2 linked regions of the Oryctolagus cuniculus genome follow. The protein of the gene in region 1 interacts with the protein of each later gene in a pairwise test. Links are inferred from orthologs where the notes say so. Each region holds a gene or a part of one and is shown on either strand. Other genes may lie near its edges. The genes, in order: NPAT and HINFP.

Region 1 (16,500 bases):
GCCATGTTGTGAGGAGGTTTTTAGGCGCTGATGCGTGCCTGTGTTCGGTGACCTGCGGCTCATACTCTGGTCGAGCCGCCTGCTGGTGCTTATTGCCTTACTAATCAGGCAGACCGAATCCAAGCCTTCTCATTGCCATATTGTGGGGAGGCCTATTGGTGTTGGTTCGTGCCTATCTTCGGTGACCTGCAGCTCATACTCTGGTCGAGCTGCCTGTTGGTGCTTACCGCCCTAATCAGGCAGACCGAATCCAAGCCTTCTAATTGCGGTATTGTGGGGAGGCCTTACTGATGTTAATTCGTGCCTGTCTTCGGTGACCTGCGGCGCATAAGCTGCTAGCCGCCCGCAGGTGCTCACCGCCTCCCTAATCAGGCAGACCGAATCCAAGCTTTCTCATTGCCATGTTGAGGGGAGGCCTTTCTATTTCTCTATTTCTCTATCTCCGGGCATTCCTATTTCTCCCATTTTACTTCTATCTTCCAGCATTCCTATTTCTCTCATTTTACTTCTAAACTTCTGTTTCTCTTATCCCTGCGGCTTTCCGGTGCCCGCCCCGAAGCCGCTTCTCGGCGGCTTTCCGGCTCTGAGCCGCTTCAGCCCGCGCCTCTCTCATCTGCGCGGCTTCGCGGCTCTGCGTGGCTCGGCTTCGCGCGCACACTCCGCGGTCTCTCACTTAGCCCAGCGTTCCCTATCTACTTGAGCCCCGCGCGCTCTGTCTGCGCGCGGCAGCCTCCGCGAGTCACACAGCGTAGCTTACGTCTCCGCCATTAGCATTCAATCTAAGTTCCCCGGGCTAGCCTGGCGAATTCAACCCAGCTCACGTCTCCGCCCCACGATTTGGCTTCCCGTCCTTTGCTCCCCGGGCTAATCAGACAGATCCCAACCGGGCTTACGTTTCTGCTTCTGGTTTTAACTTTTCGCCCCCTATTCCCGGGCTAACTTGAGAATCCCAAAGTGGCTTTCGTCTCCGCCTCGGCCTGCCCCCCGCGGCTTCAATTTCCCTAACATTTTTCTCTACCCGGTATGTTTCCCCAAGCTTTCCTCCAACGATACTCCTCCCCCACTTCTCCTGGCCTCTCCCCACAGTCCGCATCCGAGTTTGTTCTAGCTTTCACTTTCGCTTTCGACCTTAGAGATTTCTCCCAGCTTCCCCCCGTAGTCCGTATCTGAGTCTATGCCTAGGCTTTCAATAGCTTCTTCCGGCACCTTTTTCGTCCGGCTTTTCCCTAGGCTGTTTGCTAGTCTCTCTCTCCGGTATTTTCCCATTTCTTCCCGTTTCTTCCCTCCTAAGTTTGCTATCCGTCCTAGGTTTCCTATCCGAGTCACGGCACCATTATGTCGCTCCCCCTCTTCGTGGAGGAACGACACAGGACCCTGCGCTGTTCTTTCGTCTGCTCGGCCCTCCCCGGGTTTGCTGCTGGTTCTTCCCGGGTTGGCTACTGTCCCTTCCACCTCCGTGGAAGGGCGGTTCCCCCTGCCACTTTCCCCAATTCCGCGGGGGAGCGGCACACCGCCGGCCGGCTCTCTCGGGGGCTGCACAGGTGTTCCCCTTAGATGTTCCTCTTAGATGTTCCTGGTGCATGCCGTCTCTCTCCTCCTTTATAGTCCTCCTCCGCCAATCCCAACTCGGCTGCCCACACGCCGAGTACGCTGCTCTCCTCCAATCAGGAGCAAGTCCTACAGTTTATTGGCTGAACTGGAGGCAGCTGTGTAGAAGCTGTTTTCTTCTCTCCCAGCGCCATATTGTGGGAGAGCAGATGCATAGAATAAGTCTTAGTTCCAGTAACAGTCTAGTCCGAGTTGCTCCCAGTTGCTCCCCACAGACTAGTGTAAAAATTTTTCTACTGGGGCCATCGCTGTGGTGTAGCGGGTTAATGCCCTGACCTGCAGTGCTTGCATCCCATATGGGCGCAGGTTCTAGTCCCGGCTGCTCCTCTTCAAATCCAGCTTTCTGCTATGGCCTGGGAAAGCAGTAGAAAATGGCCCAAGTGTTTGGGCCCCTGCACCCACATGGGACACCCAGAAGAAGCTCCTGGCTTCAGATGGGCGCAGCTCCGGCCATTGCAGCCAATTGGGGCGTGAACCAATGGATGGAAGACCTCTCTTTCTCTCTCTCTCTCTGCATCTCCTTTCTCTGTGTAACTCTTGACTTTCAAATAAATGTTCTAAGAAAAAAATGTTTGTACTTACAAATTATACGTAAAACAGCATGTTAAGGGGCTGACACTGGCGCGGCGGGTTAAAGCCCTGGATAGCAGCACCAGCATCCCGTGTGGACAGTGGTTCAAGTTCCGGCTGCTCCATTCCTGATCCAGCTCTCTACTAATGCATCTGGGAAAGCATTGGATGATGGCCCAACTCCATGAGCCTGTACCCCTATGTGGGAGACCCAGATGAAGCTCCTGGCTTCGGGTTGGCCCAGCTTTGGCCATTGGTGCCTTCTGGGGAATGAACCAGCTGATAGAAGATCTCTTTTTCTCTGTCTCTGCCTGTCTCTCTAACTCTCTTTCAAGTAAATAAAATAAAAAAAAATTTTTTTGACAGGCAGAGTGGACAGTGAGAGAGACGGAGAGAAAGGTCTTCCTTTGCCGTTGGTTCACCCTCCAATGGCCGCCGCGGCTGGCGCACTGCGACCAGCGCACTGTGCTGATCCAATGGCAGGAGCCATGAGGTGCAGGGCCCAAGTACTTGGGCCATCTTCCACTGCACTCCCTGGCCACAGCGGAGAGCTGGCCTGGAAGAGGGGCAACCGGGACAGAATCCGGCGCCCCGACCGGGACTAGAACCTGGGGTGCTGGCGCCACAAGGCGGAGGATTAGCCTAGTGAGCCGTGGCGCCAGCCTAAATAAAATAAATTTTAAAAAGTATGATAAAATATCTAAAAAGCCAAAATTAAAACCAAAATTTAACATTTGCTTGACCCCTTATTTTATACTGGTCATTAATTATTTCCATGTGTCTTTTTTTAACAGGTAAAACAAAGAATAATAAGAATATATCACAGAGCATTTCTAGTCAGCATATGGAAACCAGTCAACATATGGAAACCAATCAACATATGGAAACCAGTCCCAGTATAATTTTAGAAGATGAAACTAATGTAGCACCTAAAGGTACTTTTAAAACAGAAGATTCTGGTAAGAATTTGATTTTATCAATCCAAATCTTTATATTAGTCTTAAAATTCAAAAGGAGGAAATACTTGAAAGTTTGTCAGTTTATCACAAGGGTCTTTATTTCTAGTTTTTTCTCCATTAAAAAAGAAATTATTCCTGGGGCCGGTGCTGTGGCGTATCAGTTAAAGCTGCCGTTTGCAGTGTGGGCATCCCATATGGGCGCCAGTTCAAGACCTGGCTGCTCCACTTCTGGTCCAACTCTCTGCTTATGTCCTGGGAAAGCAGTAGAAGATGGCACAAGTCCTTGACCCTCCGCACTTGCGTAGGAGATCCAGAAGAAGCTCCTGGCTCCTGGCTTTGGATCGGCATAGCTCCGGCCATTGCGGCCATTTGGGGAGTGAACCAGCAGATGGAAGACTGCTCTCTCGCGCACGCTCTCTCTCTCTCTCTCTCTCTGTGTAACTCTGACATTCAAATAAATAAATGAATCTTAAAAAAAAAAAAAAAAAACGCATTCCCAAGAGTTCAGTAGTTTGAAAGGTGAACTTTTGAACTTTTAGTGCTCATTGATTTATCTTACAGTATGTTCTGGGAAAGAGGATTTTTTTTGTGTTGAGGATAAGGTTTTTTAAATTTTTTTAATTGACATAGTAATTGCACATTTTATGATGTACATTGTGCCATTTTAATACCTGTAAACAAAGCATAGTGGCATGTCATGCTAGACACATCCTCTTTCAATCCCTTCCTACTGCTTACCCTTCCCAGGCTCTGGTATTCAAATGCTAGTCTCTTTTACTTTAAGATCAACATTTTAGCTTCGACGTGTAAGGGAGAACATGCAGTATCTGTCTTTCTGTGCTTGATTTATGTCACTTAATGTGATATTCTTCAGTTCTATTTCATAACAAATAACAGAGCCTCATTCTTTTTTGACTAAATAATATTCCCTTCTGTACATTTACCATATTGTCTTTATCCATTCTGTCATTGGACACTTAAGTTAATTTTGTGTCTTGGGTATTGTGAATGGTTTTATAGTAAATATGAAAGATTCTTAAACATTTCAGTTCATTTGGATATGTACTCATTAGTAGAATTACTGGATCATAAAGTAATTGCATTTCTAGCCTTTAAAAAAATTTATTTATGTTTAAGGCAAAGGGACAGAGAAAGGGAGAAAGAGACCATCTTGGATCTACTATGCACTCCTCAAATGGCTGCGATGGCTGCGACTATCACAGGTCAAAGCCAGGATCCTGGAGCTCTGTCTGGGTCTCCATCTGGGTCTTCCCTATGGGTGGCAAGAGCCCAAGCCCTATTGCCATCCTCTACTCTTTTCATAGGCCCATTAGCAGGGAGATCAAAAGTACAGCAACCAGAACTTGAACTGGTCTCTAGTATGCCAACATTGCAGGTGGCAGCTTACCCCACTGTGCTACAACATCAGCCCCTATTTTTTTTTTTTTTTTTTTTTTTGGCAGGCTGAGTGGATGGTGAGAGAGAGAGACAGAGAGAAAGGTCTTCCTTTGCCGTTGGTTCACCCTCCAATGGCCGCCGCGGCCAGCGCGCTGCGGCCGGCGCACCGTGCTGATCCAATACATCAGCCCCTATTTCTAGCTTTTTTATGGAAGCTGCTTAATGAGAGTTACACTGTCTGCAAATACTCATCAGCATTTATTTTTTTGTCTTTGATGATAGCCATTCTACCTGTGATGAGATGGTATTTCATTTTGGCTTTGATTTGCATTTCCCTGATGAATAGTAATGCTGAGCATTTTTTCATATACTTATTTATTTCTAGAACCTCTTTTGAAAATTATTCATTGAGTTGATTCACTGAATTTATAATCGGATTATTTTTTGGCTGTTGGATTGAGTTCCTTATGGATTGTGGAGGTTAATCCCTTGTTGGATGAATGGTTTGCAAATAATTTATTCCATTCTGTGGGCTGTCTCTTCAGTCTGATTGTTTTGCTATGTAGAAAGTTTTTGGTTTGTGTAATCCCATTTGTAAGTTTTTGCTTTTGCTGCCTGTGTTTTTGAAATTATAGCCAACAGGCCGGCGCCGCGGCTCACTAGGCTAATCCTCCGCCTAGCGGCGCCGGCACACCGGGTTCTAGTCCCGGTCGGGGCGCCGGATTCTGTCCCGGTTGCCCCTCTTCCAGGCCAGCCCTCTGCTGTGGCCAGGGAGTGCAGTGGAGGATGGCCCAGGTGCTTGGGCCCTGTACCCCATGGGAGACCAGGAAAAGCACCTGGCTCCTGGCTCCTGCCATCGGATCAGCGCGGTGCGCTGGCCACAGCGCGCCGGCCGCGGCGGCCATTGGAGGGTAAACCAACAGCAAAGGAAGACCTTTCTCTCTGTCTCTCTCTCTCACTGTCCACTCTGCCTGTCAAAAAAAAAAAAAAAAAAAAAAAATTATAGCCAACAAAAAGGCTTAGCCTAGACCGATGTCATGAAGAATTTCCCCTGTGTTTTCCTCTAGTAGCTTCACATTTAGGGATATTTGAAACCAGTTGTGTTTTTGTTTTCTGGATTTTTTTTAAGCCTACTGGTAAATATTACATGTCCTTAAGCAGGTATACTTTTTCCTTTACCATGTCAGCTATTTTCTAAAAAATTGATAAAAATAATTTGTCATTTATTTTAAAAGGTATGAGTAATTTGAAAGATGCATGTAAACACTTTGATACTCAGAAAATGAGATATGAGATATATCCTATTTTTACCTACTGACCTGTAAAAGATTAGTTACTTCCTTGGCAAAATAGGCTTTATAATAAATTGCCTCAGAAGCTGAACTTACCACATTTTTCCACCCTCCTGCTGTTTTGCAGATGGACAGTCTGGTCAACCCTCATTTTGTTCATCCTATCAAAATGAAGATGCATTAAATGCTTTGAAAAATGGCAGCAACCATGATGGGCTTAGACAAGACGCCCAGGAAAATTTTTCCCACATAGGTCCTAGCATCCAGAAGAAGGCCTTTAAAGCAGCTGTACCTACTGAAGAGAAGTGTAACCTTGACATTACTTTTGAGTCTGTGCCTAATTTGAATGACTTTGACCAAAGAGGAGATTCTGTTGCTGAGTGTGATGCACTCTACCCCACTCAGATGTCTGCTGAAACTGAAATGGCTATGGAGGTTGAAAAGAATTCTTTGTCTCCAAATGTACAAGATGAATCTCACTTACAGCCTGAAGTACCAATAACTTCACTTGTTTCACTTGGTGGTGAAGCTAACAATGAAAATCTACTCTCTGGGAAAAATTCTCAACTTTTATCTGAAAATACTTCATTAACTGAAAAGTCATCCAAGAAAAATCAGTTTTGTGAAAGTCCTAATAATTCAGTGGGACTTAAAACTAACTTCCATGGTTCTAAGTCACCGAAGTCTAGTGAAATTCATGAGAGTAAAATTGAAATTAGTAATGTGTTACCAGTTGTGTCACAGCAATTATCAGATTGCCAAGATAATTCTTCACCACAAAGTAAAATACTACCTTTATCTGTGGAAAGTTCAAGTTTAAATGTACAACAAGTAGAAATTAGTTTTGGAGAGTCCATCTCTTCTAATAAACAACCATCTAATGATTCAGCATCTATTGAATTAAACCATACAGAAAATGAAACTGAGCCATCCAAGTCTGAGAGAGTTACTTTGGATTCACAAGACCCTTCATCTACTATAAAAGAAGTTGGAGATGCCATTTTTCTGTCTTTAGATGGAAGTGATAACTGTAGGGAAGTTGCATTGGTGCCTCCAGAAGATAATTCTACAGAAAATAGTCACTCTCCTCCTTCAGAATCTGTGTGTTCTGCAGTGGGAGATGCTCACCCTGAGTCCCAAAATACTGCTGATAAGCCTTCTAGTGACAACTCAGCAGAGATAGATGCAGCAAATATCGTCTCTCTCAAAATTATCATTAGTGATGATCCATTTGTTTCCTCAGATACAGAACTTAATAGTGCTGTTTCTAGTATCAGTGGAGAAAATTTGCCAACTATAATTTTGTCCTCTCCCGCTAAATCACCTGCCAAAAATCCAGAGTTAGTTAAATGCCTGTCTTCAGAAGAAACTGCAGGTGCTGTTGTATCTGCTGAAGTAGGGGATTCAGCCTCCATGGAACAGAACCTTTTAGCACTCAAACTTGAGGACTCCGTTGTAAACAACACTCAGAATGAAGATAGCATTGCTTTTCCAGCCAATGTCACACCATGTGTTTCCAAGGATGGAGGATACATACAGTTGATGCCAGCCACAAGCACAACTTTTGGCAATTCGAATAACATTCTGATAGCTACCTGTGTTACTGATCCAACTGCAGCCTTGGGAACAACTGTAAGTCAGTCTAATGTTGTAGTACTGCCCGGAAATTCGGCACCTATGGCTGCACAGCCCCCACCACCTCAGTTGCAGACACCACCAAGGTCAAACAATGTATTTGCTGTCAACCAAACTGTGTCACCAAACTTTTCACAAGGTAACTATAAGAATGTGTTAAAGTTTTTGTCTCTGGATTGGGATCTGATTTCTCTTGTATGTAATTACTAAACTGTAGGTAATAAATCAGATGGTGTGAGAAAATAGTCTGAAATTTGTAATTATGCCTCTTGTTTACACTAGGTGAGTAATTCAGTCACCTTTTTTTTTATTATTTTTTTCCATTTTTTTAACTTTTATTTAATGAACATAAATTTCCAAAGTACAGAATATTGATTACAATGGCTTCCCCCCCCCATAACGTCCCTCCAACCCGCAACCCTCCCCTTATCCACTCCCTCTCCCCTTCCATTCACATCAAGATTCATTTTCGATTCTCTTTATATACAGATCAGTTTAGCATACATTAAGTGAAGATTTCAACAGTTTGCTCCCACACAGAAACATAAAGTGAAAAATACTGTTTGAGTACTAGTTATAGCATTAAATCTCAATGTACAGCACACTAAGGACAAAGATCCTACATGAGGAGTAAGTGCACAGTGACTCCTGTTGTTGACTTAACAAATTGACACTCTTGTTTATGGCATCAGTAATCACCCTAGGCTCTTGTCATGAGCTACCAAGGCTATGGAAGCCTTTTTTAAGAATTGTAAGCCATGAACGGAAGTGGTTTAATTTTTTCTTTTCACAAATAAGGTCTCAATCTTTGAGAAAGAGAAAGAAAGATTAATTCATCACATAGCTGTGTTTTCTTTATCTCCTATAATATTGAATTTTAGTAGGTATGCACCTGGTATGGTTGTAGCCTTCAAGAGAGTTGTCATCTATTTGGAACGATATCCAGGAACAATTTGAATAATATATATGTTTAGTTTCCCTTGTTCATAGGGTGTCTTGTAGCATTTATTACATGCTGTTTTTTATTAATGATTGGCATGCCTGTCAAATTAGTCATTCTAGATCGTATGTTTATCAAAGATAGGACTTACAGTATATCCATCTATATTTCTGTATGTATTGGTTCTTGAGCTTCCCTCCCACCTCCCCCCTTTTTTTTTTTACATCATAGACACACAATAAAATTTTATTAAATGTCATCACTTGTAAGTATTAAACCTGATGGGCCTGTTTGAAGTACTGCCTCAAATAAGAGGTCAGAATTGGTATAGAAACTGGGCTTGAGATAAAGCTTACAGAAATAAGGTAGGATTTGGAGTTAAAGGAAGGAAGTCTTTATAGCCAAACGAAGTAGTGCAAGCATGAATAAGTATTTTAAGACTATAGCAGTAGGCTGGCGCTGCAGCTCACTAGGCTAATCCTCCACCTTGCGGCGCCGGCACACCGGGTTCTAGTCCCAGTCGGGGCGCCAGATTCTGTCCCGGTTGCCCCTCTTCCAGGCCAGCTCTCTGCTGTGGCCAGGGAGTACAGTGGAGGATGGCCCAAGTGCTTGGGCCCTGCACCCCATAGGAGACCAGGAAAAGCACCTGGCTCCTGGCTCCTGCCATTGGATCAGCGTGGTACGCCGGCCGTGGCGGCCATTGGAGGGTGAACCAACAGCAAAGGAGGACCTTTCTCTCTGTCTCTCTCTCTCACTGTCCACTCTGCCTGTCAAAAAAAAAAAAAGACTATAGCAGCTATGTCAAAGTGAAATCAACCTAAGAGTAGTTATTGTATTAGGAAAATACTCTCATTACAGGGCATGGATAAATTGTGATAGTAACAGACTATATTGTTGTTGACCTTTTTTTTTTTTTTTGGACAGAGTTAGACAGTGAGAGATAGAGAGAAAGGTCTTCCCTCCATTGGTTCACCCCTTACCGCTACAGTGAAGCCAGGAGCCAGGTGCCTCCTCCTGAGCACTTGGGCCATCCTCCACTGCCGTCCCGGGCCACAGCAGAGAGCTGGCCTGGAAGAGGAACAACTGGGACTAGAACCCTGCGCCCATAAGGGATGCCAGCACTGCAGGCAGAGGATTAATCTAGTGAGCCAGGGCGCTGGCCCCCTATACTATTGACTTTTTTTTTTTTTTTGGACAGGCAGAGTGGACAGTGAGAGAGAGAGACAGAGAGAAAGGTCTTCCTTTGCCATTGGTTCACCCTCCAATGGCCGCCGCAGCCAGCGCGCTGCGGCCAGCGCACCGCGCTGATCCGATGGCAGGAGCCAGGAGCCAGGTGCTTTTCCTGGTCTCCCATGGGGTGCAGGACCCAAGCACTTGGGCCATCCTCCACTGCACTCCCTGGCCACAGCAGAGGGCTGGCCTGGAAGAGGGGCAACCGGGACAGAATCCGGCGCCCCAACCGGGACTAGAACTCGGTGTGCCGGCGCCGCTAGGCGGAGGATTAGCCTAGTGAGCCGCGGCGCCGGCCTTGACTTTTAATTACTGTGTAAGCATTGTAATTCCCCCAACACATGCACGCACACACCGTGGTTTTGTCTGAATACTCATTTACCTTTTACCTGGACTCTTTTTTTTCTTTTTCTTTTTTCTTTTGAAAAGCATAGTTGGAGAGAAAGAGACAAAACAGACAGAGGTCTTCCTTCCACTGGTTCTTTCCCCAAATTGTCACCACACACGGGGCTGGGCCAGGCTGGAGCCAGGAGCCTTAAGCTCCATCCGGGTCTCCCACATGTGTACAGGGGCCCAAGCACTTGGGTCATCTTCTGCTGCCTTCTCAGGTACATCAGCAGGAAGCCGGGTCAAAAGCAGAGCAGCCAGGACTCAAACCACCAACCATATGGGATGCTGGCATCTCAGGCAGCAGCTTAAACTGCTAAGCCACAGTGCAAGCCCCCACCTGGATCATTTTTAACCAGTGTCATTGATATATAATAGGCTAGGTGTATGGGCAGTCTTAGGCTATAAACATTCAGTTGAGGTTCTAATTTCCTAGTGTAAGACTCAGACTTGAAACGTTCACTGATTTTCTAATTAGTTTCACTGTTTTTTCTATAGGAGTCAACAGTACAGTTGTATGACTTCCTTGCTCATGATTGTTGTGAAAATGTTATCAGCCCATCTTTCTATTCAATTGACCTACTTGTTGGCCTTGCTGTTCTGCCTTAATTTTCTAAAATAATAGATTGTAAGGAAAGATTATTACTTTATTTCAAAGTAACAATTATTTGTTTTGTACCAGAATTATTAAGAGAAATTCTTCCTTTAATGAGAATTATTTTTCAGGATCTGCCATCATAATTGCCTCTCCAGTGCAGCCTGTGCTCCAGGGAATGGTGGGAATGATCCCTGTATCTGTGGTGGGACAGAGTGGAAATACCTTTTCTGCTCCTCCTCGGCAGGTGAGGTTTATGAACTAAAGTGCTATAGTGAAACTTTTCAAACATAGTATAATTAATGCCTTCTTCTCTTGCAGGTCCTTCATATGCCTTTGGCAGCACCTGTGTGCAATAGAAGTATTCCTCAATTCCCTGCCCCTGCAAAATCTCAAAAGGCTCACGGACCAAGAAACAAGCCTTGCATAGGTAACATATTAAGTTTGTTAATGTCAGCCTTATGTTTGTCCATTAGTTTGTAGCAGTGCTTGACTCTTTTCTTCTTGAACACCAATAACATCCTTAACAAGTAGTCATCCTAAGTTTGCTTAAAGATTCATAGCACTAGATATTAGAAGGCAGCCAACCTTGATATAGGACATCTTTGATTCTGATAAGTTTCCTTTTATAAGTTTTAGCTTTGTTCCAGTGTTCCTTAATTTATTCTTTGGAGATACCTAAAATAATAATAATCTTAATTTTCTGATAGCTTTAAAATGTTTACTGAATGTCATATATATTTATATTAGATTTTAGAGGCAGTGTTTGCTGAATGTTTATATGAACTGCTACCTGGGAATCTTGTTAAATGCAATTGCTGAACAGTAGGACTCCCGTAGGGCCTAAAATTTCTTGTTTCTAATAAGCTTTCACTGAATGCCTGTGCTGCTGCTGCTAGGCCACACTTTTGAGTAACAGCCTTTGAAGTTCCCAATTTATTTTCCTTCATTCCCAATTTGTTCAGTGGCTCACCCATCTTAGTATTTATCCATGTCTAAAACCTAGGAGTTTTCTTTTTTTCTTTTCTTAATTTATTTGACAGGTAGAGTTGTAGACAGTGAGAGAGAGAGATAGAGACAGAGAGAAAGGTCTTCCTTCCATTGGTTCACTCCCCAAATGGCTGCTATTGCCAGCACTGCGCCCATCCGAAGCCAGGAGCCAGGTGCCTCTTCCTGGTCTCCCAAGCACTTGGGCCATCCTCCACTGCCATCCCAGGCCACAGTAGAGAGCTGGACTGGAAGAGGAGCAACATGGGATGTTGGCGCCGAAGGTGGAGGATTAACCAAGTGAGCCATGGCGCCAGCCCCACCCCACCAAGAGCTAATTTTAACAGCAAGTACTCAAAGTGGATATTCCACTTTTATTTATTTATTTTTTAAAGATTTATGTATTTATTTGAAAGTCGGAGTTACACAGAGGAGAAGCAGAGAGAGAGAGAGAGAGGTCTTCTATCCGCTGTTTCACTCCCCAGTTGGCTGCAAAGGCCAGAGCTGTACAAATCCAAGGCCCGGAGCCCGGAGCTTCTTCCAAGTCTCCCACATGGGTGCAGGGGCCCAAGGACTTGGGCCATCTTCTCTGCTTGCACAGACCATAGCGGAGAGCTGAATTGGAAGTGGAGCAACCGGGAATTGAACCAGCACCCATATGGGACAGCAGGCGGCAGCTTTACCCGCAAGCCACAGGGCCAGCCCCAATTCCACTTTTATTTTTCCCTTAATTGCTTGTCATGCGTATGCTACAGCAGTTAACACCTGACATTGTGAATATTTGACTCCTCACTAATTTGAGTGTCTTAAGGGCAGTAAATATATAGATTACCTGCTAAATTCCATGATCAGTTTTGCTTTTCCTTCAATATTTATACATGTTACTGTACGTGTAAGTTGTTTTTTGATTTATTGGCATTCTCTCAGACTGTCACATTATACTACTATACATTTCATCTCCTGTCAATGGAACTTTAAGACACTCCCAAAGTTGACCTGACAAACTATGATATGATGAACACATTTTTTTTTTTAAATTTATTTATTTATTTGAAAGTCAGAGTTATACAGAGAGGAGAGGCAGAGAGAGAGAGGTCTTCCATCTGGTGGTTCACTCCCCAGTTGGCCGCAATGGCCGGAGCTGTGCTGATCCGAAACCAGGAGCCAGGAGCTTCTTCTGGGTCTCCCATGAGGGTGCAGGGGTCCAAGGACTTGGGCCATCCTCCACTGCTTTCCCAGGCCATAGCAGAGAGCTGGATAGGAAGTGGAGCAGCCAGGTCTCGAACCAACACCCATATGGGATGCGGGCACTTCAGGCCAGGGTGTTAACCCGCTGCGCTACAGCACCAGCCCCAGATGAACACTTTTTTAAAAATACTTTTTTTAGAAAAAATTTGTTTATTTATTTGAAAGAGTTACAGAGAGAAAGGGGAGAGACAGAGATCCTTCATCTGCTGGTTCACTCCAGCCGCATTTGACCAAGGCTGGGCCAGGCTAAAGCCAGGAACGAGGAACTTGTTCTTGGTCCCTTTTTTTTTTTTTTTTAAGATTTATTCATTTATTTGAAAGGGAGAGTTAGAGAGAAGCAGAGGCAGAGAGATAGAGAGAGGTCTTCCATCCACTGGTTTATTCCCCAAATGGCTGCAATAGCTAGAGTTGGGCCAATCCAAAGCCAGGAGCCAGGAGCTTCTTTCAGGTCTCCCATGTGAGAACAGGGGCCCAAGGACTTGAGCCATCCTCCACTGCTTTCCCAAGCACATCAACAGGGAGCTGGATCAGAAGTGGAGCAGCTGGGTCTCAAACCGGCACCCATATCAATGCCGGCACTGCAGGCCAGGGTGTTAACCCGCTGCGCCAGAGTGCTGGCCCTGATTCTTTAATTTCTTTTTTTTTTTTTTTTTTTTGGACAGGCAGAGTGGACAGTGAGAGAGACAGAGAGAAAGGTCTTCCTTTTGCCGTCGGTTCACCCTCCAATGGCCACCACGGCAGGCGCGCTGCGGCCGGCGCACCACGCTGATCCGAAGGCAGGAGCCAGGTGCCTCTCCTGGTCTCCCATGGGGTGCAGGGCCCAAGCACTTGGGCCATCCTCCACTGCCTTCCCTGGCCACAGCAGAGAGCTGGGCTGGAAGAGGGGCAACTGGGAAAGAATCCGGCGCCCCGACCGGGACTAGAACCCGGTGTGCCGGCGCCGCTAGGTGGAAGATTAGCCTATTGAGCCGCGGTGCCGGCCCCGATTCTTTAATTTCTAAAATGACATGTATGCTGTTTAACTCAGCTTGATCTACAGCTATCCTGTCATTAGTTTTTAATGTAGAACCCAACTTGAATTTATAACTTTTTTGTATTAGATTATTTTTTATGTTGGTAAAATATATATACCATAAAATTTTTAACATATGACCAATTTGGGGCCAGTGCTATGGCACACTCTCTATCTCTCCCTCTCTCACTCTGTAATTCTGACTTTCAAATACATAAATAAATCTTTCAAAAAAAAGAATCATTCTTTTTTAGTCTCAGAAATATATAATGGCAATAATTGTTTAACATAGCAGTTAAGACACCTGCATCTTATATTGGCATACCAGAGTTTGGTGCTCAGTTCCCAGCTTCCTGCTAGTTTGGTGCTCAATTCCAGCTTCTCAGTCCAGCTTCCTGCTAATGCAGGCCATAGGAGGTAGCAGTGATGACTGAAGTACTTGGGTCCCTGGCACCCACAGTGGAGGCCTACATTAAATTTACAACTTGCAGCTTCAGTTTTGCCAAGTGTATTACAAGCATTTGGGCAGAGAACCAGCTGATGGGAACTTGCTCACTGTGTTGCTGTCTGCTTATCTCTCTCTCTGCCTCTCAAATGAATAATTGTTTTATAAAAATATATAAAGAAATAATGGTAATCGTGGGAAACTCAGTGTTCATCACTCCCATTCGGTATGTATCTTTTCTACTTCCAAAAGCATTCTTCCATTTTCTCTTCTCAAGGAATAACTCTTTCTTTCTAAGGTTAATGCAGACTACTTGTGCTCTAGGTTGTATCTTTTAACATTAATTTTTTTCTCTTTATTTCTTCCCTATGTGTCTGAAACTTGCCAAACTTTTATTCCTGACCCTTCTTAATCTCACGTTCCTTCATTTGTAGTATTCTCTTTTCTTATTTAACACGAGAGGTCACTAGTGACTTTCTAATACTGCCTTTTGCATTGAACTTTGCCATTCTTATTTTCCTGTAATTATTTTTTTTAAGATTTCTTTTATTTATTTGAAAGAGTTACAGAAAGAGAGAGAGAGAGAGGTCTTCCACCCACTGGTTCACCCCCCAAATGACCACAACAGCCAGAGCTAAGCTGAGCTGATCTGAAGCCAGGAGCTTCTTCCAGGTCACCCGGAGCAGGCACCCAAGAACTTGAGCCATCTTCTACTGCTTTCCCAGGCCATAGCAGAAAGCTGGATGGGGAGTGGAGCAGCCAGGACTCAAACCGGCACCCAAATGGGATGCCAGTGCTGCAAGCCGGGGCTTTAACCCTCTGTGCCACAGTGCCAGCCCCTCTTCTAATTATTAATACAACTGATAGTTTCTGAAACCATCACTAAATTTATTCTGCCACTCTCTCGCTGATCTTACATATAACTCAAGTCCTTCAAATTCTACATTTCCAATCTTTTTTTCCTTAAGATTCCTTTATTTGAAAGAATTAAAAAGGGAAAGGGAGAGAGGGAGAGAAAGTACACTCTTTCATCTGCTGGTTTACTCCCCAAATGGCTGCAATGACTAGGGCTGAGTCAGGGCAAAGCCATGAGCCTGGAACTCCCTCCAGGTCTCATATATTCATGGCAAGGGCCCAAGTACTGGAGCCAACTTCTGCTACTTTCCCAGGCACTTAAGCAAAGAGCTGGATTGAAGTGCAGCAGCTGGAACTCCAATCAGCATTTACATGGGATGCCAGCATCACAGATAGCAGCTTAACATGCTGACACATTGCCAGCCCCCTCTGCCAACTTTATCAGTGTCACCACTGATTGCTTTGTTACCCTTCATATCCATGTAAATGCACATTGTCTCAAAGACCTTCATCATCTCTCATCAGTTCTTCCAGTTTTCTCTCCTGTTTATTCCATCTTCAACATTATTGCCAGGCTGATCTTCCTAAAGCATAAACCTATGTATGCAACTTTCCTATTTACAACACTTAAAAATTATCTCTAAAATCTTCTGCATAGTGCACTAGTCCCTTTTCATCTCATTTTTGCTTTCCTTTCCAACCTTCGTATCTTGCTCCTTTCTCACATAAGCTCTGAAGGCCATGAAAATTAAAATGTAGCTGTTTAAGTTAGAGCATTGAGACCTGTGTTGTGGCACAGCAGGTGGGCCACCGTCTGCAACACCGGCTTCCCATATGAACTCCAGATCAAGCCCCAGCTGTTGCGCTTCGTGTTAATATGCTTGAAAGGCAGTACATGATGGTCGAAGTACTTGGGGCCTTGCCACCTACAAGGACACCCAGGTGGAGCTTGTGGCTCCTAGCCTCGACCTTGCCCAGTCCTGGCCATTGTGTCCATTTGAGGAGAGGATCTTTCTCTTTGTCTCTGCTTCTCTGTTTCTCCCTCTCTCTAACTGTGCCTTTCAAATAAATGAATAGATCTTAAAAAAAAATCAAAGCATGCTCTGTAAGTGACATAGGCTGACATAGATGACAGTTACGTTGGGAAAACTTTAAAGGACTTAGATTGTTGTTTTCTTTAATAACTATCTGGATCCGAGTAGTACAATAAGTATATTGTAATTTCTAGATCCAGAAACTGGATTTGTAGTATTTGCCTGAAGTTGAAGTCATTTGCTCTTGCATACATTAAAAAGCTGCTTTTTTATAAATATTTTTAAAAAATTTATTTGGTCCAATG
Region 2 (16,500 bases), about 11 Mb from region 1:
AAAACTCACGCACAAACCTGGCCTTCCATCTGTAATGGCATCTTTAAATTCATTTTATCTATATTGATTACTTAATGTGTTTCCGGATTATATAAATTACATAGGTTTATTTTTAGACGACATAGAAAATAATAATGCAACAAAGTATCGATCCTAACTAAAGTATACAATTTCTTTAGCATATATGTCTTGAATCCTGTGTTTCAGCCCCTGGGATAAATAAGGGAGTTACAAAGAACACACATACAGTCCCTGCCTCCCTCACTGACCGGTCGGTCCAGTGCAGAATGCAGACGGGGAACCAGGCAAATATCACTCAATGCGATACAGCTGCAAAGGAAAGTAAGGGAAAGGATTTCAAGGACCCCATCCTGGAGAACCACGGGTCTCCTCTCAGCCCAGAAGAAATGAGTGGGAATCAAGTGAAAGACGGGGTTGGGGGAGAGGGGGAGGAATGTTCTAGGCAAGCAGCACAGAGCGGGACGTGAGCTTGAAAAGGACTCAAGTGGCCGCAGGAGCAGGCGGCGCCCAGCTGCTGCAGGGTCTAGAAAGCCTGAGTTGTTTAGGGAACGGGGACTCCGCCAGTTGTCAGCTCGCTGCGAGCGCTCCGGAGAATGTTCTGGAGCGAAGCGAGAGTGCACGCAGCGGGGACGGGTTCACGGACCTCGGGGAGCATGGGAATATGAGGGAGATGAATGTGAGAGGTCCTGTGCTCGCGGAGGTGGAATCCACAGCACTTGACGGATGTGGCGGGTCAGGGGGGGAAAATCAAAGATGCCGGCCAGGTTTCCGGCCCCAGACAGCGGAGGGATGGCAAGGTTGTTCACCGGCCGCGCGGGGCAGAGAGAAGCTGGCTCAGGAACACCAATATCTGGGAGACAAGACTAAGAGGGTGAAGGACGCAGGTGGGGCAGAGCCGCCCACGTCCCCGCCTCCGCGCTGCCCATGGGACCAGGCAGATCCCCCAGAGGGGCCAGACCAAGCCGCGCGCATGCCCACTGGGCCCCGCACGCCGAGTCTGCGCAGATGGGGGAATTCAGGCCCTTGGGCGCCAAGCCTGCGAGCGGTCTGGAGCCCCGAGGGCCCGCGCTACCTTTCCCCGCATCCGGCAACCCCTCGGTAGCGCTCCGAACGCCGAGCTCTACCCACGATCCCGCCCCTTCCGTGTTTTGGTGCGCACGGTTTCCGTCAGACGCAGCGGCCATTGGCTGTCAGTAGTATCTGGGAGCGGCGATTGGCTAGCGCTGCCCGTCGCTCAAGCTCTCTCTCAGGAGACTGTCTGAGGTAGGAGGAGGAGAGAGCCGGCGCTGGCGGGCGGTGAGCTGGGGCTCGGTGCTCGCTCCTGGCGGCCTGGAGGCGGTGCGTCCCGCGGCGGCTGCAGGAGGCCGAGCTCTTCCTGGGCCGCTTCGGCGAGGCTCCTTCCAGCGGCTCGAGCACGCTGGTTCTCTGTGGCGCCCACCCGGATTCGAACCTCGGTGCCCTCCCGGGTCGGGGCTTCACGCCGAGACTCGGTCAGTGCCACGCTTTTAGAGGGACGGGTCCCGGGAGGGCTGCGGGGCTGGGGTGAGAGGCTTTGCCCTCCGGAGCGGCTTCCTGCCCTCTTTCGGGTTCTCGTCCGCGAGACGTGCTCCCGCCACGGAGGGGAAGCGTCCCTGTCCCGGGGATTTCTCTGCCTTGAGCTCTGTCGCCGGGCGCTTTGTTTTGGTCTTCCCAGGACTTGGCCGAGTTGGGAGTCTGGGAGATGAGGACCCAAGTCCTTCCCTTTCCTGGAGACCACTCAGGGCTCACTCGGTGCCTTGCGCTACAGTGCACGCTCTCAAGTGTTTGCTGATCGCTTCTTACCGTGACCGCCGAGCGAAGGGAGGGAGGCTCGGGTCCCGGGTTGCCCTTTTGTTGGGTCCTTCGCAGCAGTCCGCTCAGGTCAGCCCTCAGCCGCAAGTGAGCGTACTCACAGCCAGCACGTGTGGAGTTCTTGTGCCATGCGAAGTATTTTGATATCAATTGTCTACTTCCGCCCCCAGTTCAGTGAGATACAATGGTTCCCGTGCTACACTGGAAACCCAGGCTTAAGGAAGGTCCCTACGGTTAGTAAATGTTGCTTCGTGAGCAGGTTAGCTGCATCTAACACCATCACTGAAACTAGTATCTCATTCTTAATAAGAAACAGGTTCAGAGAAGCTGAGTGGCTTGTCTAAAATACAGTAGCTAGTTCTAGAACTACCGTAGCTCCTAGGAGGTGTTTGATGACCCTGCGGGTGGAACTGAAGAGGGCACAGGCCAGGCTGTGCAGCAGGTTACAACTTGGAGGGGCTTGACGAAGGAGCTGCTTGCTAAAAGGCGTCTGGATATTGTGTGTGCAGAGACCATGTCTGTGGGTGGGGCACTCGGGTACCCTAAGAGGGGCAACAGTGGGAGGAAAATGGAGCCAAACTCCCTGGCTCTCTGTTGTCTCCACTTCTAGCGTTGTGACCCTGGTTAAATTACTTCACCTACCTGGGCCCATTTCCTCACTGGTGCAGTGGATAATAATAATAGCTAACACGGTAGAGTGTTGTATTAAAGGGTTTTTATACACATGAAACACCTAGAGCGGTGTTTGGATATGGTAGGTAAATAAATAGAGCAGATTCGCTGAGACAGAAAACTGGAACCCGGATCTCTGACGGCTGGTGCAGAGCTCTCCCGTATGTTGTTTGCATCATTTGCATCGTTCATCTACAGATGGGGCAGTGTGGGACATAGTTCTGTCGCACATCTCTCCTGTGTCTCTAGGGACACAGGGAGAAAAAGAGGAAGTCAGGAAGCTTTGCCTAAGTCAGGTCATTCCCTGTCACTAGGTAGCCAGCTTCCTGGGTCTTCCCACCCAACCCCACCGTGGGAACGCGTTTAGAACATTTGTGCTCAGCACTGTGGGCACCGTGGAGAGACCCAGATGCGCCTGCTGGGGCCTCTACTCAGAAACAGCTTATAGCCCAGTTGTGTAAACAGGAACAGAACACATAAAAAGACCGTGAGTGATCCTCATGGTGTCCTAATTGGGTTGAGGTTTTATGATGTCTGTCAACAGTGCCAGCCCTAGAACCAGAAGGCCAAAGAGTTGTTACTGAAGAGTAGCATAGTTTAGGAGGGCTTCCTGGAATATGATCATCCGAGACCTGTGAGCACTGGGGCCTACGGAGCTCTGTGCTGGTCCCTGCCCTGTGAAACGTGTAGTCTAGGGAGACCGCTTTCTGTTGCGTTGGAGCAAGCGCTGCAGTGAAGGGGTCTACGGGACGCTGTGGGCAGGAGATGGGAAACTCCAGCTGACCTGGTGAACTGGGGAGAGGGAGACCAAGGAAGGGACCTTGGGGTCTGAAGGATGAGCTGCTGCTTCGGCAGAGTTTCAGGAGAGTGAATCAGAGAGGCAAGGGAGAGGAAGCTGGAGAAGCAGCATGGTGTGGTGGTGGTGAGGGGGTGTGATCCTTGGATCAGAATCAGGGCCCTCTCAGAGTAGTGTAGTGACATGTGGAGCGGGGTCATGGCAGGGCTAACGTTACCTGGGCCCTCGTGGGTGTGAATTTCCACACCCAGACTCTGGAGAAGTAAGTTGAAGCTAGTTTGGAAAGTCTTGCATTTTCCATACTATAAGCGGTAGAGAGGAAGTTTGGGATTTTATGTCTGGCTTAGGGAGACTTTCCCTACCCCAACTTTATGAAAGCAGTAGACGTTTTCTCCTGATAAAGCCTAGGAGCAGCCCTGCAATCCTTGTCTAATCCAGTGTCCCGGTGACTGGATTCTTCTCTGAGGAGGAGAAAAGACCGGGTAGGTTTAGCAGATAGAGTAGGTTCAGAGCCTTGTACTTGGAGGCATGAAGGATTTATGACCTTATTTTATTTCATTTATTTTATTCCTCTTAATATTCAGTAAAGGCCTTTTACAGAGTCCTCATCAGTCTCAGGTAGGCCAGAGTCGGCCGTGCCCTGTTCCCTTCCAGGGTCTGCTAGGGTGGGGGCAGTGAGATCCCCTAGGGGAAGGTGGCATTCAGGGGACACAGTCAAGGCTTTTATTGTTTTCTCTCCTCCCAGAACTTTAGGTTCCAGTGTCATCCTTTTTTCTGTGTTCTTTTTTAATGAGAGAAACTTTTGCCGTTTCTTGAAGTATGCTGCTGGTACTGCCTGGATCAAAACTGAATGCTGAGTTTTAAAAGCAGATTTCTAGGCTCACCTGCCACTTTGCTGAATCTGAACTTCTAGGGGGAGGGACTGGAGAACCCTATTTGTGTGTATAGTAAGCATTGAAAACATTTAGTTTTATAATCGTCTCTCTCTCTAACAAATAGTTATTATATGCCTAAGTTTGTCTAGCAATTTATAGGTGCCTCGGGTGCAGTGTAAATGAGACAGGTCTTCTTTATGTTTTGTTTTTAAAGGTTTCTGGCACAGCAATGCCTGGTCAGCCACCCCCCAAATACTTGTGGGATGAACTTAGGACGACCTCGAGGCAATAACCCATGCGAGGTCATCCCATCCGCACCCAGTGAGGATCCCCACATTTGTGGCAGTCCCCAGGCACCCCAGGCTCTCAGGGTAGCTGCTATACCCCATCCCACCCGCATGTTTGCCATAAATGTAGGAATGGACGCAAAATTCAGACCCTGGATTCCAACGCCTGTAAAAAGGCGTCTGCTAACCAAGGGTCGAGGATATGCGTGTCTTTCCAGAGAATGCGGGACAGCCCATTGTGTACCAGCCAGAAACATCAAGCCTACAACTGATAGCCAACCAGAACCAGCTGAACAAGACTGAGAGCCCACCTTGTTAGCGGATGTACTTGCCCTATCATCCTACCCTGAGGAACTGTAGCCACATCCATTACTGTTTTATACCCCACTAGCTCTGGTCAGCCACTCGAACAGCCCACAGCCTGTGTGCAGTCATGCCAACCTGATTACCATTGTTCCTCATTCCTACCCCCATCTGAGCAAGCACTCCTGTGGTCTCCCGTTTTGAGCGCTGGTTAGTCAATGATGGGTAAGATCCCCTGGAGGACAACCTAAGACAGGCACAGCCGTGTATGGAGACCACATGGAAACGGGGTCAACAATGGTATGGCCAAGAATCATGCCTCCCGTTGCTCAAAAATAAAGGAAAAGGGGGAAATGTGGAATGAGAAGGCCATGCCAAGATGGCCGCTGGCAACGGAAACTGCCTGGCAACAGGCTGTGATTGGATGGCTTCAGAAACTGCCTGGCAACAGGGTGTGATTGGTTAGGGCATAGACTGCCCCTTGACCGGATTGGCTGCCTTGGCTATATAAGCTGCTGTATCAACTGAAATAAACGAGTCTGCAGGCTGCTCGCCTCAGGCCTGCTTTCACCAGATTCCTGCGGTCTGTGTAGTGACTCCGCGCCTCTTGCCCTCACCACGTTCTTCCTCTCAGAAACAAATCAACCGCAACAAAGGTTGACTCTTTTTTTTTTTTCCTAAGATTTATTTGAAAGTCAGAATTACAGAGAGAGAGGGAGAGACAGAGAAAGAGGTCTTCCATCCACTGGTTCACTCCCCAAATGGCTGAAACGGCTAGTGCTGGGCTGATCTGAAGCCAGGAGTCAGGAGCTTCCTCTGGGTTTTCCACGTGGGTGCAGGGGTCCAAGTACCTGGGCCATCTTCTGCTACTTTCCCAGGTACATCAGCCAGGAGCTGGATCAGAAGTGGAGCAGCTGGGACTTGAACCCATATGGGATGCCGACACTGCAGGCAGAGGCTGAACCTTCTACGCCACAGTGCTGGCCCCAAGGGTGACTCTTTTACAAAATCTTTTTTACATTAATTTTCATTTATTTGAAAGGTAGAGAGATCTTCTGTCTGCTGATTCACTCTCCAAATGCAGTCAACAGCCGAAGCTGGGCCAGGCTGAAGACAGGAGTTCAGAACTCAATCTAGGTTTCACACATGGATGACTTCAGGAACCCAAATATTTGAGCCATCACTTGCTGCCTCCCATGATCAGTATTAGTGGGGAAGTGGGAAGCTGGAAGCTGGAAGCTGGAATCAGAAGTGGAGCAGGCACTCCAGCCCAGGCCCTTCCATAGAGGGTGGGAGCATCCTAGCGGCATCTTAGCCACTGGCCAAACACCTGCCCCTGGAATCTACGTTTCAACAGGGTGTTTGGGAGTGCTGGGTAATCGTTGGCTAGTTAGGCAGGGGCAGATTGTGTGACACTTTGAAAGTGTGAAGTCTGACAGAGAACTTAAGACATGATGCTATGAGAAGTAAGCAGATTTGGGGCCCATCTGCAGGCTGTGTCCAATAGGAAGATTGAGGACTTTAGGGTGAGCTTTGTTTGACCTTGCTATACCACCAGTGTGTGACCTTGTGCACATCACCTAACTTCAGATCCTTGTCTATAAAGGAGATTAAAAATAGTACGTACCTATTAGCATGGTTGGTAATTAAAGGATGTAATACAAATAAAATGTTTAAGATGGTGCTTGACATAAAGTAGCTGTGAAATTAAAAATAAAAGGTTTTAGGGACAGGCATCGTGGTATAGCAAGTTAAGCAACTGCTTGGGTTGCCTGTATCCCATTTTGGAGTGCTGGTTTGAGTCCTGGCTACTTCATTTCCAATCCAGCTTCCTGGTAACACATCCTGGGAGGCAGCAGATGATGGCTTAAGTGCTTGGTCTCTTGCCACCCATTTGGGAGACCCAGATGGAGTGCTGGGTTTCTGGCCCAGCTGTGGCTGTTGCAGGCATTTGGGGGAATGAACTAGCAGGTGGGAGTTCTCTCTCTCTATTGCTCTGCCTTTCAAGTAGATGAAAATAAATAAATAAATAAACTTTAAAAGGATCTATTAGCTCCATCTTGCAGAAAAGAATGTTCAAAAGTTGAAGGTTAAGTTCTTGGCCAAAGTCACATAGCTAGTAGGTGGTAGACAGTAGAGTCTGGATTTGAATTCTGATTCCTTTCCAGAGTTGTCTCTGAACCTGAGCGTTGTTCTTCCTGCCTAAAGCATAATTCCTTCTTGGTGGGTTGCTCTGAAACTTCAAGAGGAAATGTCTGTTAAAGTGTTTAGCTTACTGCCTAGCACAAACTGGATAGTGTTAGTTTCTGTTCCCTTTTTTCAAGAACACCAGATAGCTTCCAGGAATTTGAAGAACTGCTATTCCATCCTCACTGGAAACACACCTGCTGATTCTAGGCAGGCTGCCTGCCCAGCTGTTTGCCCCAGCAGCACTGGGTGGAATCTTTGCAGCTATGTACTTCTTCCTCTCCCTCCACAGCAAGGCCATGCCACCTGCTGGGAAGGTGCCCCGGAAGGAGAACCTGGGGCTCCAGTGTGAGTGGGGGTCCTGCTCCTCTGTGTGCTCAGCCATGGAGGAATTCTGCGAGCATGTCACTCAGCACCTGCAACAGCACCTGCATGGTTCCAGGGAGGAGGAAGAGGAGGATGACCCGCTTGGTAAGGGAGCAGGACACAGGAAGGGGAAAAAGCTAAAAGGAAGATGGGAAATTGACTTTCCTTTCCCCAAAGGGAGAGGACAGCCTGGGAGAATGGAGGCTTATTTTCCATATTGTGCTTTTTTTGGTTATAAAAACATTGTAAATTTATTTATAGACAATTCAGTCAACAAAAGGATATAGGGAGTGCATCTGCCATCAAGAGGCAGTTACACTGCTTTAGTGAACATTCTTTTTGCCTTCTCTTGCATTTGTGTACTTAAATTAGATGCAGATTTTGTTTTTTGTAAAAAGCTCATACTGTAGAAGCGGTTGGCAACCCTTTCTCTTTAACTCTGGGAGTGCTCCTCTCTCCAACCCCCTCCTCTTCTCCCGCAGCCACCAGTTAGGGGTATCTGTGTGTGTGTGTGTGTTTATGTATCTAGATAAATACAGAAATATAAAGATTTATTTATTTATTTGAAAGGTAGAGCGAGAGAAGGAGGGAAAGAGAGATGGTCCATCTGTTGGGTCACTTTCCAAATGCCTGCAAGAGCCAGGGCTGAAGCTAGGAACTAGGAGCAAGGAACTGTATCTAGGTCTCCCATGCGGGTGGCAGCAACACAAGCATTTGGGCCATCACCTGCCTCCCAGGATGCGCATCAGCAGGTACATGGATGGGCCGCAGAATAGCTTGGACTCAGAACAGGCACTGTGGCACAGGATGTGTGTGTGTGTGCATGCATATGCATGTATTTAAGATTTTATTTATTTATTTGAGAGGCAGAGTTACAGAAGAAGAGAGAGGTCTTCCATCCACTGGTTCACTCCCTAAATGGCGACAATGGCTGGAACTGGGCTGATCAGAAGCCAGGATCTTATTCTGGCTCTCCCACATGGGTGCAGCGGCCCAAGCACTTAGGCCATCTTCTGCTTTCCCATGCCATCAGCAGGGAGGTGGATTGGAAGTGGAGCAACTGGGACTCGAACTAGTTGCCCATATGGGATGCTGGCACCATAGGTGGATGCCTAAGCTACTACGCCACAGCGCTGGCCCCTGCAATATATATTTTACAACACAAAAATTAAAGGAAAAAAAATACCAGGAACAATACTTACTAAATACTGTCTGCAATGTCTGTCTGCCTCTCTCTCTAATATGAGAGGCAGACAGAGAGAGCTCCCATCTGCTGGTTTACTTCCCCGAAGCTGCAGTAATCCCAGGCTAGAAGCTGAAGCTGAAGCTGGGAGCCAACAACTCAAGCCAAGTCTCCTATGCAGGAGGCAGGAACCCAGTCACTTGCGCCATCACTGTAGCCTCCCAGGGTCTGCGTTAGCAGGAAGCTGGAGTCAGGAGCAGAGCTGGGTGCTCTGATGTGAGACATGGTGTCTTAACTGGCATTTTAATTGCTAGGTTAAATGCCTGTCCCTTACTGTCTGTCTCTCTCTTTTTTTTAAGGTTTATTTATTTAATTGAAAGGCAGAGTCACAGAGAGATAGGGGAAGACAGGGAAAGAGAGAGAGCTTCCATCCACTGTTTCACTCCCCAGATGGCTGCTACAGCCAGGTCTGGGCCAGGCTGAAGCCAGAAACTCCATCCAGGTGGCAGGGCCCAACTACTTGGACCATCCTTTACTGCTTTCCCGGGCACATTAGCAGGGAGCTGGATTGGAAGTGCAGCAGCTGGGACTTGATCCAGCACTCACATGGGATGCTGGCATTGTGGGCAGCAGCTTAGCCCACTGCACCACAACACCCGCCCCCCTTGTGCTCCTTTATTTAAAGGGGAGGGGGTACTTTCTGGTGGCACAGCAGGTTAAGCTGCCATTTTCAACACCTGCATCCTATATCAGAGCACCAGTTTAAGCCTATGCTACTCCACTTCTGATCCAGCTCCCTGCTAGTGTGCCTGGGAAGCAGTAGAGGATGAACCAGGTGCTTAGTGCCCTGTCACCCATGTAGGAGACCTTGTAAGTATGGGGACCACTCTCCTTCCCCAACCCGAGATTCTGTGACTAAGCTATAACTGATAGTTTGAAAAGTAATAAAGAACAATCAGAGGATGGTCATATTTTCTAAAATACATACTTTTTTTTTTTTAAATTAATGTATTTATTTGAAAGGCAGAGTTACAGAGAGAGGGAGAGACATCTTCCATCCACTGGTTCACTCCCCAAATGGCTGCAACAGCCAGGACTGAGCCAGACTGAAGCCAAGAGCCAGGAACTTCCTCCAGGTCTCCCATGTCAGTGTGGGGGCCCAAGCACTTGAGCCATCCTCTGCCACTTTCCCAGCTCCACCAGCAGGAAGCTGGATCTGAAGTGGAGCAGCTGGGGTTCGAACCAACACCCATACGGAATGTTGGTGTCGCAGGCAGCAGCTTAACCAGCCACACCATGACTTCAGCCCCTCTACTTTTTGAGACAACCATTTCTTTCTTTTCTTTTCTTTTTTTTTTTTTTTTATTTGACAGGTAGATTTATAGACAGTGAGAGAAAGAGAAAGAGAGAAAGGTCTTCCTTCCATTGGTTCACTCCCCTAATGGCTGCCATGGCCAGCGCTGTGCTGATCCGAAGCCAGGAGCCGGCTGCTTCCTCCTGGTCTCCCATGCGGGTGCAGGGGCCCAAGCACCTGGGCCATCCTCCGCTGCCCTCCTGGGCCACAGCAGAGAGCTGGACTGGAAGAGGAGCACCAGGACTAGTACCCGGCACCCCAACTGGGACTAGAACCTGGGGTGCCGGCACCACAGGCAGAGGATTAGCCAAGTGAGCCACGGCGCTGGCTGAGACACCATTTCTATAAAGCTTTGAAGCTAAGTTGCTTGGAGATGCTAGAGATATTGGAAGTGGATTGGAACCATTGCTGGGGCCTTCCTGGAGAAAGCAGCTCTTGAGCGGGAAGTGGGGGGACAGAGGAGGCTGCGTCTTCCTCAGGGGCAGTGGGCACTGTGAGCCAGAGTCTGTGGTGCCAGCCACACCCGCCGGCTCTGAGCTCGGGCCTTGAGTTTGCAGTTACCTCTGCCTCCACCACACCTGCCCTTCACTTACTGCGGATACGCATCCGTCAGATCTCAGCATGAGGGCAATTCTCAAGACACCCCTGTCTGTGTCCAGCTACCTCTGCTTCATAATTGTATAGTACCGTGGGCCCCTACCCCATCACGCTTATCACTACTAGTTGCAGTTTTATTTTGTAGATGTGATGATTGAGTAATGTTCTTTTTTCCTTGACTGAAAGCTGTGTGAGGGCAAGGACTGGTACTCTGTTATGCTGGTTACGTCCTTAGTGCCTGGTGCACAGTGGATGGTCATTAAGTGATGGTATTTGCTGAAGGAACTCCTGGTAATTTGGTAAGCGCCTGGCCTTATTCCCTGCCAAGTGCTGCAGGTGGAGAGAATGCTGACCCCAGGAAAGGACTGGACTCTCCTTCTAAACCCTTTGCAGGGGAAGAATTCTCCTGCTTGTGGCAGGAGTGCGGCTTTTGCTCTCTGGACAGTTCTGCTGATCTCATCCGCCACGTCTACTTCCACTGCTACCACACCAAGCTGAAGCAGTGGGGGCTGCAGGCCTTGCAAAGCCAGGCAGATCTCAGCCCCTGCATCTTGGACTTCCAGAGCCGGAACATCATCCCTGACATCCCTGACCACTTCCTGTGTCTGTGGGAGTACTGTGAGGTCAGTGAGCAGTGCCAGTCATGGCGGGGGGGGGGGGGGGGGGGCTGGGAGTCCTGACTCAAGCTGTCTTGACCTTCTTAGGGGTGGTTATCTTACCACAGCTCCTGCTAGTGCCTCTGCCCTAGCTCCGTGTAGCTCCTTTCCTCTAACTTTCTATCCCTACCCAGTTAATTTGGGAGAGAGCCAGGAAACCCCTCTGGGCACATGGTGGTAAGGGTCCCTCCACTACCTCAGTTCTCACCTTGAGTTGCCTCTGGCACAGAGCACCTTTGACAACCCTGAGTGGTTCTATCGGCACGTGGAAGCGCACAGCCTGTGCTATGAATACAAAGCAGTTGGCAAGGACAACCATGTGGTGCTGTGTGGCTGGAAAGGTAGGGCCTGTCTTTAACTTCTGGGTCCTGAAAGAAACCCTGGGGCCAGGGCAGCCAAGGAGCGGGCCAGTCCTGCAGGGCTAGCTTGGCTGGCAGCTGGAGAGAGTTGGGGCTCGTAGAGCCTATTGGGGGAGTTTGTAACTGGAACCTGGCCGGGCCTTCCTTCCCAGGCTGCACCTGCACCTTCAAAGACCGCTGTAAGCTTCGAGAACACCTCCGCAGCCACACCCAGGAGAAGGTGGTAGCCTGTCCCACCTGCGGGGGCATGTTTGCCAACAACACCAAGTTCTTGGATCACATCCGCCGCCAGACCTCCCTGGATCGTAAGAGCCAGAGAGCAGGGGTGGGAGCAGGTTGCCCTGCCCGGAGCGTGGTGGGCGCGTGTTTCCCCTGAAGAGATCTGTGGCTTGGCTCCCTCTTCCTTCTGGGCTCACGCACCCCACAGCCTCGGTGCTGAGCCAGTCCCGGGTGCTGTCGCTCAGCACTCACTGCCGTCAGTTATCTCAGGGAGCCCTCAAAGCAGCCCCGTGAGGTAGGCTTCTTATCCCCGTTTCTGCAGATGCAGAAGCTGCGGCTCAGAGAGGTTAAGTCAGTCAGCTGAAATCACACAGAGAGTAAGTGGTGAGGGCGGGCTTCTCTCTCAGGTTCTCTGTTCTGGCCCCGCGTTCTTTCCAGGCTCCTGTGTCCATCCACAGCTCGCTAGGCTCCCCTTTGTCCTCGGGTGCTCCCTTGTGCCTGGGGTGGTCCTCCTCCTCTTCCCTCTCCTCTCCACATCCCCCGCAGCCCTCCTTTCATTGCCTGCCCTGTCCCCAGAGCAGCGCTTCCAGTGCTCTCACTGTTCCAAGAGGTTTGCCACAGAGCGGCTCTTGCGGGACCATATGCGCAACCATGGTGAGTGGCCCGCCACGCCAGCCTCCCCGTCCACCCTCCAGGGCTCCACAAGTCTTCAAACCACAGCCTCCTCTCTGCTCCTCCCAGTGAATCACTATAAGTGCCCCCTGTGTGACATGACCTGCCCGCTGCCTTCCTCCCTCCGCAATCACATGCGCTTCCGCCACAGTGAGGACCGTCCCTTTAAATGTGACTGTTGCGACTACAGGTAAGGGGAATCGGGGCCCAGAAAAAGAGCTCGTGTTCCAGGGTCCCCATGTCCTCCAACCCCCCTCACCTCTCCTGGCAGCTGTAAGAATCTGATCGACCTCCGGAAACACCTGGAAACGCACAGCAAGGAGCCAGCCTACAGGTGTGATTTCGAGAGCTGCACCTTCAGTGCCCGGTCCCTCTGCTCCGTCAAGTCCCACTACCGCAAAGTGCACGAGGTGAGGGGCTGGGGGTGGAGTGGGCCTGGCAGAAGTGTGGGGGAGCCTGGGGTCAAGGGTCAGCCTCACTTCTGCCTCTCTCCTTGTCAGGGGGACTCGGAGCCGAGGTACAAATGTCATGTGTGTGACAAGTGCTTCACACGGGGCAACAGCCTCACCGTGCACCTTCGCCAGAAGCATCACTTCAAGTGGCCCTCGGGGCACCCCCGTTTTCGGTAGGTCCCACAACAACCCTCCCTCCAGGTTCACACACGTTTTTTTCTGTGTCCTGTTTTTTTGTTGTTGTTGTTGTTGTTGTTGTTTTGCGCCAAAGTTAAAAACCTTTGAATGCTTTTATGGTGGGTTACTGTCTGTCAGTTTTCAATGGTGTCACATAAAATCCCAGGATTCCTTCTGCATCTGTCCCTTAAGCTCCCTGTGTGTGAGCTGTTTGGCATCCCCTGCCCACGTGTGCTGCCTTGTGTTCCTCCTCCCCCAGGTACAAGGAGCATGAAGACGGCTACATGCGGCTGCAGCTGGTTCGCTATGAGAGTGTAGAGCTGACTCAGCAGCTGCTGCAGCAGCCCCCAGAGGGGTCCGGCCTGGGATCAGCACTGAATGAGAGCAGCCTACAGGGCCTCATCCTAGAAACGGTGACAGAGGAGCCAGGATCTAAGGAAGAGGCGGAAGAGGAGGAGGAGAGCAGGGGTGGTGAGGGGACAGCCCACTCAGCCTCTCAGGACAACCCCAGCCCTGTCATCCACATGGTGAATCAGACCAACACCCAAGGCCAGCGAGAGATTGTCTACTATGTGCTGGCTGAAGCCCCCGGGGAGCCCCCGCCAGCTCCGGAGCTGCCCTCAGGAGGCATCATGGAGAAGCTTCCAGAACTTGCTGAGGAGCCAGAGGTCCACACTGTGTGAAGCTGCAGAGCCTGGCCACTTCTGCCCCGGCCCCGGAGTTTGAGCTGGGGGTGCAGTGCCCCAGGGGGCGGCTCTTGCAGCCGGATACCTTAGGAGTGATGTGGAGAGCAGTGCGCACTGCTCTTCCTGGGCTTGCATGGTTCTGCGGGCTCTCAGGACTTCCCTTTCTGCCAGACTGCAATTTCTGGGGGTCCTTAGCTACCTGGGTTCTCTGAAGGGATCCTGGCTGTATGTGTTCTTGGTAAGGGGCTGTGATCAGGCTTAACCGTTACTCTGTAGACGTGCTAGACCATGCTGAATTCCTTACTCAGCTTATGTCTATTTCCATGCCACACCCCCTATAAGGGCTTTTCGTTGCCATCAGCCAAGGTATTAGGAACCAGGCATCCATTTCTCTTAGGGGTTCCTACAACAGCAAGGGCTCTACGGTTATCCTCAGGGACGGGCTTGGAGGTACTGAATGTGTGTAGTAGTTGTTTTTTTATAATAAACACTTGGACTGGAACTCATTTCTTCCTAGGTATAGTGGAAGTTAACTGGGTAGCAAGAGGTACATCTTTCTGGAAGAGGAGCTGAGTAATCCGACTTATTCCCCTTTTAGTGCCTGGTGTGGCTTATTTCTGTCGTGTTGCTGCCTCTGCTGCAGCCCCACTTTGGTGAAATGTCTCTGTTCTTTCTCAGAGCATTTGCCATCTCCATGGAGGCCCCCAGCACTTGGACATGAGTGGGCTGCAGATCTATGGCATAGATGAGAATGGGGCTGACCCGGGAAGATGGAGCAGCTGAGCACGGCCACACTGATCAGAACCCAGTGCCCCTGGGGTAAGGTTCCTTACCTCTGGGGCTGTGGGAGGAAGGGAGAGCCGGGTGGATTGGGAGGCTCCCTGGGGAATGGCAGGTACTGCAGGGGGCCAGGAACAAAATGCATTTTCCTGGGGGATAGGATCTGTTTTCAGTAGATTTTCACAGAGGCTGAAACACCTCCAAAATAAAGACATTCTTTAGGCTGGTTTGGCTACTTCTCAGTACGCAGTGTTCATTCTTATGTCTGCTGCCGTGGAGAGGCCAAGGAAATACTCTGAGAGTCTTAGACGACCAGGAAGTTGCCTAAAAAGGATTCTGGATCTGTTAAAGGGCTTGCTTTAAATTCTTACTGCGAAAACTGTCTATTGTTGACAGAATTAAGAAAGGAAAATAAATTCTGTCAGCTTTTTTTTTTTTAAGATTCTTTATTTGAAAAGCAGAGTAACAGAGAGGGAGAGACAGAGATCTTCCATGTGCTAGTCTACTGCCTAAATGCCCTGCAGCAGCTGGGGCTGGGCCAGGCTGGAGCCAGGAGCTGGAGCTCCACCTGGGTCTCCCACGTGGGTGGCCAGGGCCCCAGCACTTGGGGCATCTTCCACTGTTTATCCGGGCACATTAGCAGGGAACCGGATCAGAAGTGGAGCAGCTGAGACTCAGCCAGCACTCATGCCTATGGGATGACAGGATTAGGGAGAGCTTCCATCTACTGGTTCAGCCCCCAGCTGCCTGTGAGAACCAGGGCTTGGCCAGGTGAAAGAAGCCTGGAGTGCACGCAGGTCTGCCATGTGTGTGATAGGTACTCAAGTACTTGAGCCATCACTGCTACCCCCCCCGGGGGAGGGGCATGCATTAGAGGAACCTGGATGTGAAGTGGAGTAGCCAGGACTCCAGGGACTGTGATGTGGGATACAGGCAGCCCAAGTGGTGACTTAGCATCCTGTACCACAGGTCCTCCTCCATCAGCCATTTTCTTTTCTTTTCTCTCTTTCTTTTTTTGGAAAGGCAGAGTTAGAGAGAGAGAAAGGTCTTCCATTGGTTCACCCCCCAAATGGCCGCTACGGCCGGTGCGCTGCGCGGATCCAAAGCCAGAAGCCAGGTGCTTCCTCCTGGACTCCCATGCGAGTGCAGGGCCCATGCACTTGGACCATCCTCCACTGCCTTCCCGGGCCACAGCAGAGAGCTGGACTGGAAGAGGAGCAACCAGGACAGAATCCAGCGCCCCAACCGGGACTAGAACCCGGGGTGCTGGCACTGCAGGTGGAGGATTAGCCTAGTGAGCCGTGGCACCGGCCCATTTTCTTTTCTTTCTTGCTTTCTTTCTTTCTTAGATTATTTGAAAGAGTTACAGAGAGGGAGGACAGAGAGAGAGCTTCCATCTGCTGGTTTAACTGGCCAGATGGCTATAATGGCCAGGACTTGGCCAGGCCAAAGCCAGGAGCCAGGAACTCCAGCCGGTGTCCCACTTGGGTGACGTCGTCTGCTCTTGCTTTCCTTGTGCCTTAGCAGGGAGCTGCATCAGAAGTGGAGCAGCCAGGACTCCAATGCGCTCATGTGGGATGCTGGCATTGCAGGCAGCGTAACCCCCTGGCACAATGCTGTTCCCATCATCTCAGTTCCTGCTGTGGCCCAGGCACAGCTGTTAAGGATACAAAAATAATACCTAGGACCCATCCTGGAGGGACTTGCAGTATAGAGACAAGGAGAGAGTATGTAAGGGAAGTGATAGGAACTTACGCTGTATGTTGAGAAGGTTCAACATGGTGGACCGTAGACCTGGGCATGGGGAAGGTTTTTTTCTAGAAAGAGACCCTAACCAAGACCAGAAGAAGATTGTCAACGCCCGCCATCCTGAAAGAGTGGTGCCCTGTTTTCAAAGGTAGTTCTAAAGAAAAGTGGTGAGCTGAGAAGTATATGTATACGGAAGTCCACCATGGCTACTTTGGTGTTTTATGCACACACACCCATGAGGGCACTTCAAAAAATTGGGGAAATCCATGCCCAATATTT

What was found.
Region 2: the proteins of NPAT (region 1) and HINFP interact in a two-hybrid assay, tested with the Homo sapiens proteins (2 studies listed by BioGRID). The link is inferred for Oryctolagus cuniculus from reciprocal best matches to the Homo sapiens genes NPAT and HINFP.

Annotation. Positions count from the first base shown.
Region 1 is NC_091432.1:99,930,665-99,947,164, reverse strand, and holds part of NPAT (protein NPAT), read left to right. Parts: intron 1-2,972; coding exon 2,973-3,137; intron 3,138-5,954; coding exon 5,955-7,601; intron 7,602-10,745; coding exon 10,746-10,861; intron 10,862-10,935; coding exon 10,936-11,044; intron 11,045-16,500. UniProt on the Homo sapiens protein: Required for progression through the G1 and S phases of the cell cycle and for S phase entry. Activates transcription of the histone H2A, histone H2B, histone H3 and histone H4 genes in conjunction with MIZF.
Region 2 is NC_091432.1:111,167,847-111,184,346, reverse strand, and holds HINFP (histone H4 transcription factor), read left to right. Parts: upstream 1-84; 5' UTR 85-1,511; intron 1,512-7,263; 5' UTR 7,264-7,270; coding exon 7,271-7,442; intron 7,443-10,864; coding exon 10,865-11,094; intron 11,095-11,356; coding exon 11,357-11,468; intron 11,469-11,638; coding exon 11,639-11,791; intron 11,792-12,281; coding exon 12,282-12,359; intron 12,360-12,446; coding exon 12,447-12,567; intron 12,568-12,648; coding exon 12,649-12,787; intron 12,788-12,877; coding exon 12,878-13,002; intron 13,003-13,265; coding exon 13,266-13,689; 3' UTR 13,690-14,194; downstream 14,195-16,500. Other genes in the region: ABCG4 (ATP-binding cassette sub-family G member 4), read left to right, coding at 14,438-14,511. UniProt on the Homo sapiens protein: Transcriptional repressor that binds to the consensus sequence 5'-CGGACGTT-3' and to the RB1 promoter. Transcriptional activator that promotes histone H4 gene transcription at the G1/S phase transition in conjunction with NPAT.